Styela clava: one gene and its partner. The protein of the gene in region 2 purifies or fractionates together with the protein of the main gene of each other region. This does not show direct contact. Links are inferred from orthologs where the notes say so. Each region holds a gene or a part of one and is shown on either strand. Other genes may lie near its edges.

Region 1 (3,760 bases), on a different chromosome or scaffold from region 2:
CATTTCATTCTAAAAGTGTAATATATTTAATTTGGCCATTTATTTATTATGGATTGATTGTTTCGTATTTATTCTTGAATGATTTAACTTTGCTTACCTGGTTATTTAATGGGCGTTGAGTAATTTGTTATTCTGATATCTATGTTGGATATTAGAAATTGAAATCGTCTCATGTTTCGTTGCAAATTTTTGATTCAACTATAATGTAGTAGCCCTATTCTATTAGTAATGAGTATTTTAGTCATAAAACTGGCTTTAATAATTTTTTTTCATCTAAATTCTAATATTGTTCAAATTATAACTTCCTTCTACACTGGGAGGATTCTTAATTCATGACGAGAGACATTTTCTGGGTAAAAAGTGACAGATTGATTTAAGAAGCTGACACTCTCAATGATAGAAGTCCGAAAAGACTTTCCATTAATTCCAACCTTAAAAATTCACTCAATCTCAATGTTTTAATCTTCTCAATTGAACAAATTTGGTTGGCGGAAATCAGTATGTCCTCACATAGAAGCTGACCCCCTAAAAATGGCCCCAAAACAGTGAATTTATATAAATTCTCATATAGACTGACCCTACAAATCGCAACACGCCGTACACACCTATCGCAGCAAATGGTTGCATGAGAGAATTGATGAAAAACATAATGCTCCCATAAGCAGAATTTTTAGTGCCCATATAATTTGGCCCCTTAGTTTGGCACTTTTTTCTTATAGTTTTAAATTCAACTTATATATGAAGATATATGGTATGTTGAATTAGTTCTTGAATCTCAGCCGCCTTTTTTCCCAGTCTCTTTCAGTGCGTGATAAAGCCTGTCTTTCATTCATCCATGTTCGTTGCATACATATCTATGAGAAAGGATTATCATGTTTTGTGTTTTCTTTTCTTGTGTATAAATAGTTTTTCTTCTAGTGCCAATGGTAACCACTCTGCTTTTTTTTTGTCAAGGCAGTAAAAATGAAAATAATATAGTTTCAAAAAACGATAAATATTTTGAAGTATGTCAGACTATGATACTTCTGATGATTGGATAGACTGGAATCCCAATGGAATTCCATCGACCGATGATGAAACAGATAATGAAGATATTCAATCAGGTGAATATTTTTGATCAGGGTTTTTCAAACCGGGCCCTTTCGGGGGCTACGTAGCGTTTCTTGGTATGAAAAAGTGTGTAGTAACCAACGAAATTTGGAAGTTTTGAATGTTTTCGATTGTGATTTTTTTTTTCAAACTGGGCCTTTGAGGGCAGGGTTTATCATCATATTGGTAAAAGCTGAAAATGCTGACTCGCATATGTGTGTCGTTGTAGAAGCTATTAAAATTTTAATTCCCTTTTTTGTTAGCAATGGCTATTCGTCCTCAATGATTAACCAATATGATGCAATGGCTTTTTGATTGAAATCAATCATTGATCAGACTCTTTTCATATCGTTGCGGACCCTTGTGCTGTCATCACCTACCCCCAGAGGTCCGCGGACCCAAGTTTGGGGAACCCTGCTCTAGGGGGCTACGTAGCAGTTCTTGGTGTGAAAATTGTATAGTTACCAACAATATTTAAAAGTTTTGAACCATTGCTGACTGTTGAAAATAAAGTCTGATATTTTAATCAGTTTTGAGAATTATTTTTTTTTTCTATACTCAGAGGAGTTTTTTGCCGAAATTCATGATATGAGCTATAATAACATATTAACATAAGGCATGGTTTATTGTTTTATCCAGATTTGTCTCATGTAATTTTTTCGTTTTGGTTTCATTATTTAAAAATTCTTATTTCAACTATTTTTTTTATTTTCACTTCCAGAAACCAGTGACACAGATTCTAATGTAATGTTGCTAAACCACGAAAGGCACTTACAACGCAGAAATGCCCTCCCAAATATTCAAGACTCAAGTGAGATTGATACTTTGGATCAAAATGAAGAAAATGTCATTTCATCAGGTAGTTGAATTGTCCGAATTTTATGTGTATTAGAATTTTCCAATAATTTATATATATTGTTAGTTGGGTTGCGCGAGACTAACTTCCTATCCTTCCTCTGTGCCTTTATGGTAGTGGATCATATGCGATAATGCAATGATGCTGTAGCAGGAATAAATAGGAGTATACAATGCAATTCAAAAGTCCTGCTGCACACTAACACAAATATAATTCTGTAACGTTTCTTCTGACCAAAACCATGTTAGTGTGCAGCAGGAATTTTGAATTGCATGCAATTATACAATATAGTCGGGCTGAAATGAAAATTTCATCAAATGAGGGGCCTAGCAGATGTTTCATTATACTATTATACTAAGTCCTAGAAAAACTGTCACTTTATTAAATCATCCGTCATGAGTTCACAAGTTTGAGCCTCACACGGATGATTTTTACTAATGGATTGCTGGAATTCTTACTTTCCAGTGATTTCCAAATGACGGCCCATTGCGGCTTGCGCGACGATTCAATATGACCTGCCGAACGTAGGTCAATTAGTTTACCAATTTATATATTTTTTTTTTTGCGTTCTAGATACCGCCATTCGTTATGTCATTATCATAGTTTAAAAATTTGTATATTTGTCACAATTCAATTATACCAGTATCTTGATTATACATACCGTATCGGCCCCTTGCAGGGGATCCACATTCCTGGCCCGTGAATATCCTTCAGATGCTAATTTTGGCCCCCGGATAATCAACTTTGGGAAAAAATGTATTAAAACATCTCTGTATTACTTTGACGAATAAATATAAAAATTTGAGACAGTTACAGATGGGAAACCTTACCCGATTATCATAAAACCCACTTTCAGTAAACTCACGCATTTCCGCTTGCTTATAGGTGAAGAAACTGATCACGAAGAAGAAGAAGAAAATAATGGTGAAGAAGATTTATTATCAATTGCAAGTAATGGGTATAGATCAGCAGACAGTCAGCTAATTGGACAGACAGGTATTCTTCAAGTTACAATAGCTGGAGTGTGTTCTCCGAGTTTAGAATACCAGTGTACTAATTGCAACACAAAAAATTCATTTTTTTACTGCTAGGGGGGTAGTATTGTTGTTGTCAGATGTCAGATGAAAATGCGCTCACATAGGCAAAAATCCATATTTTTTTTTGCGTTTGTCGCTGCGGTAAATCTTTCACCGTTTTTATTACTGTAAGGCTATCTAGGCAAAAGCCGTATTCTCTACTCTTGCTGACTGATGTACGGTACATTTGAACGGTCAGTTTGGCTGATGCTAAAAACCTATGCAAGAACTCGTGTTATGCAATTCAATGTGTAGATGGAAAAACTACTGTAATTTCTTTGTGGGGCCCAGCTAAATGTCTGAAGTTGATTAAATGGCCCACCGAGCTAAAAAATATGCTCGAGGAATTTGTTGAGATTGCGATTAAATTTAGTTTTGAGACGAAATTTTGTTTTCTACTTTTGCTTTTATAACACTGCAAATATTATTCATAAAATGTAAATTTTTACGGCCACACTTACATGGCCCGCCAGTCTTTTGGTCTCTGGTCCAAACACCTTGCCCAATCCTGATCTAGCTGAAACTTTACCAAAGCATTTTGATCATTTCAGCCCTACCAGAAACAACAACAACCTCAAGACCTCTGACCCCCGTGCCATCCACATCAACAAAACGTAAGCAATCATCACCTCGACCTAATCCGAGCCCAAAGAAAACGAAAGAATCGTCGTTATCTCAAGAAGAAGACGGAGATTGTTGTCCAATTTGTTTCGAACATTGGTCAAACAGTGGAAAACAC
Region 2 (3,760 bases):
GGTTGTAAATAACATCGAATGGAGACGTCCTTTGACACTGACGAAATGTTAATAAACATAGGCTTTCATGATGCTTTCTGCCCATAGTACTGTGGGAAATCATGAATTAGTTTCACACAAGTGTTGTAGAGTTCCATGTCTGTAAGAAAACAGTTGATTGAAGCTATAGGATTATGCTATAAAAAAACAGAAAATGATATTTTTGATTCAGAAGTTCGCCCACCCATTTTTTAAATTAGTGTTCGAAACGTTTCAAAAAATATTTTCACATAGCACCCCAATCTGGATATCAAGATTTTCTTGGGGCCAAGTTCTTGTGTGGGTAACAATCTGGAACAATTACAACAATGTAATAAATTGGACAAATTGGTTTTGGACAAATCGCATACTATTTTTATATGTTTATGCTCGTCAAGATTTTATTTTGGCAAAAATAATTATTTCAAATTTTAGGCTCCGAAACAACATTAGAACATGTTGGTACTCTCTGAATATCAACTTACTAAATTTTCCTTCAGAGTCAAACACGCGATACATCACCCCATGTACGTTACACTTGCTGTCAACTTTTCCAGTGACTTCAACGACACCTTCAATAATATCAGCCAGCTGTATAATAGTAAGAGAATATCGATAATGACTTGTCAGTTAGTTTTGCCAAAATTTTGGAATTGAAAATGCAATTTTAAAAACATAGAATAGATACATTTGTGAAACTGAATTTCAAGTAATTGTAAATAAAATAGATGAAACTAATCGTTGATTTTCGACAATTAGCGTTAATTAAATCTACAATTAGTTAGTAAAGAACTCTGTGTAAAATGCTCGATTAGTTTTATCTTTGGGACATATCTCAAGAAACAAGTAACATACATAATATTAACCAGATGTGCCAAAATTTTTAATTGTTGAGTTTGCTTAAAAAAAACAGCTTATAAACGGATATCATTGTTGGAGTAACTTCAAAAGAAGTCACTGAGCCTAAACACTTTAACTGATACACTATAAATACTTATGCTTTACCTTAATCAAAACATTATGTTTGCAAATATATCTAAATCTAATTTTAGTGATACAGCATTTTAGTGTCACAAATATTGAAAAAGGGGAATATTATTGTTTTGCTATTTTCATATGATCACAATATTATTTCCCTGACTTCTAGATGGGGGTGCATAAAGTAGTTCTCGATTTCAAAGTGTGTGAAAAGGAAAACCAGTGATATGATTGGTCAATACTTCTTACCGGTGAATCTAAGACAACTTGAATATTTTCTCCTGCACCATCTTTCAATACAAATGAATTTCCATCTGGGGATATCTGAAATAAATAAACCACATAAGAGTAAATGTATTCATATTTTACATCGTTTCGACCATTGAACTCGACAGTATTTATAATACAAACTATTTAGCCCAATAATTAAGAGTTAATTGCTAAATTGTATTATATCCAGAAATCAGAAAATTTTATAATAGTGGTTGTTCGTAACGGATGATACCCAATAGCAGAATAAGGAATTACACAAAAAAACAAAGGTTTCTGGGTTTTGATAATCTTGCTATGCCATTGGCAAAGAATAATTCAAAAATTGCGGAGCAGAAGTTTAGGACTTCAAACCATGCTATCTGGAGGTCTGCTATTTCAGCACGGTAATATACTAGATCAGACTGTTACAGTGTTAGGAACCAATGAAAATTACTAGTAGGCTATGTCAGAGTAACAACACCCTAATCAAAACCCAGAAACCAGTGAATACATGCAGCTATAAAATTAGGTTAAAATTGTGGAAATGTGTTTACATGCTGTGGTATTGATATTGTCTGATTTTAGTTTTTACAGTATTTGTTGAGTGCATCACTTTACAGATTTAAGCCTACTTCTGTATTTCATGAATTAGAGAAATAAATGAAAATCCAGAATTTCTTTACGGTAATTCTAGAGCAGTGTCTTTCAACCGGGGTGCCGCGGCACACCGGTGTGCCGTTAAATATTGTCAGGGGTGCCGTGGGAATTTCTCCAAGTTGTGTGTCTGTGCGGTGTAGCGTCCGGCAGAGTAATCGTGTGGTACTGTTCTATATCAGACCGTGGCAGCATCTGGTGGCGATTTTTTTTGTCTTTGTTTTTATTTGATTACTATTCAAGATGTCCAATTCAACATCTTTCTTCAATGTTAAAAATCTTATATTTACAATATAACACTTATATTGTGAATATTACGGGTAGGTATTTTCGCCATATTTTCAGCTGGTGGTGTGCCGCGGGATTTTCTCACCGAAAAAAGTGTGCCTTGGCTCGAAAAAGGTTGAAAAACACTGTTCTAGAGGATTCAGTCAACATTTCTACATCCATCCAGTGTGAAATTCTTAAATTATACAACTCAAAACATATCTTGGTATTTCAGTAGGCCTATTTGAAAAAAAAATACTGAATTACATTAATTATATCATCAGTACCGGTACCGGTATTGATATACAGAAATACACAAAGGTACTGTCAGACTGTAGTTACCTTTCCAGCATCGACAGTCCCAACTACAGTGACATATTTTTCTGTGTATTTTGGTAGCAATGATGCATTCAGACGTGGCCTAGGTCCGGCAAATGCTTCTTCCATATCTGATCGTGGACAGATAATTTATTCTTGTCTCACTCACTGCAGCACTGGTAAAAACTAAATATGGTAGCCTCTGTATGTACCGGTAAATCCTATGAATTTGTGAACAGCCCTTCTAGTTGTATCGAAGTTAAAATTAGAGCTAGTACAGTAGTACCGGTACCGTAAAAGCGCCTAACTTCGGACAAAATTACTATATTTTCGTCAATAACTTGGCCATTTATTGTCCAAAAGGTGCCAAAATTACTCGGTAAAACATTCGTGCGGTAATTTACATTCCTTGCAAATTTCGGTTCAATTGGACTATTTTTACTATTGAAATAATCGATATTTCTTGCCATCTGACCGTTATCCTTCACTGCCCTAACTTCGGACAGTCATTTTCTTCACTGCGTAACCGCGACGCACAGAGAGAAAGAGGCTTCCGATGCGGATGGCGTAATCACGTCGTTGCGTGAAGATAAGACGCTCGATCGTCGTCGTAACGTAACATTGATGTCACGACGAAAATGCATTATTTGAAACTTCCGTCGTCCTATGTTTACATCTTTCGTTCGTTATTTTCGATACTTCAGATGAGTATAATAACACGTTAGTCATTTTAATCAGGAAATGCATACGTAAATATATCTGATGCAAATCGTTTCAATCCGCAATGAAGTATTTTAACGGGCTTCTATCGAAGTCTTTGAAGTATTAATATTCTCGACGGATAGTTTTTTTTTATCGTGCGCGGTTATCTTTATAAATGATAATTTATATCAAACACACGGTAAATTCGATTGTAAAGTTTAATTTAAAATTCAACTTAATCTTGTAAACATGTAGGTCCCGTTTATTTGTTGGAGATAAATTTATTTTTAATTTCGAGTGAATAAAATTCAGCCAGGCAGTATTCAATAACTGTCATTTCGACTACTAATCATAAAATAATGGTTAAGTCAGTGCACTGTGCCATATGGACGTTGGAATTATCATAGTTTTGTATGTCCGATTTTAACGTCATCGATTAAGTGTGACATGTATTTTTATTAATGTAATTTTGGCATATATTCATACATGACCGAACAAAATACAAAAATATTACATTGGAACGCCGTCTTTATCTTAACGGAAATTGTCATATTGGCTCCGTTGTGTCTGG

The links.
Region 1: the proteins of replication protein A 14 kDa subunit-like (region 2) and E3 ubiquitin-protein ligase rfwd3.L-like purify together in Homo sapiens (affinity purification with mass spectrometry; 5 studies listed by BioGRID and IntAct, with this or other methods). This does not show direct contact. The link is inferred for Styela clava from reciprocal best matches to the Homo sapiens genes RPA3 and RFWD3.

The regions. Positions count from the first base shown.
Region 1 is NC_135262.1:4,159,202-4,162,961, reverse strand, and holds the start of E3 ubiquitin-protein ligase rfwd3.L-like, read left to right. Parts: upstream 1-964; 5' UTR 965-1,006; coding exon 1,007-1,103; intron 1,104-1,810; coding exon 1,811-1,948; intron 1,949-2,830; coding exon 2,831-2,941; intron 2,942-3,572; coding exon 3,573-3,760. UniProt on the Homo sapiens protein: E3 ubiquitin-protein ligase required for the repair of DNA interstrand cross-links (ICL) in response to DNA damage. Plays a key role in RPA-mediated DNA damage signaling and repair.
Region 2 is NC_135261.1:16,322,670-16,326,429, reverse strand, and holds the start of replication protein A 14 kDa subunit-like, read right to left. Parts: upstream 2,771-3,760; 5' UTR 2,617-2,770; coding exon 2,512-2,616; intron 1,321-2,511; coding exon 1,246-1,320; intron 610-1,245; coding exon 504-609; intron 140-503; coding exon 66-139; 3' UTR 1-65. UniProt on the Homo sapiens protein: As part of the heterotrimeric replication protein A complex (RPA/RP-A), binds and stabilizes single-stranded DNA intermediates that form during DNA replication or upon DNA stress.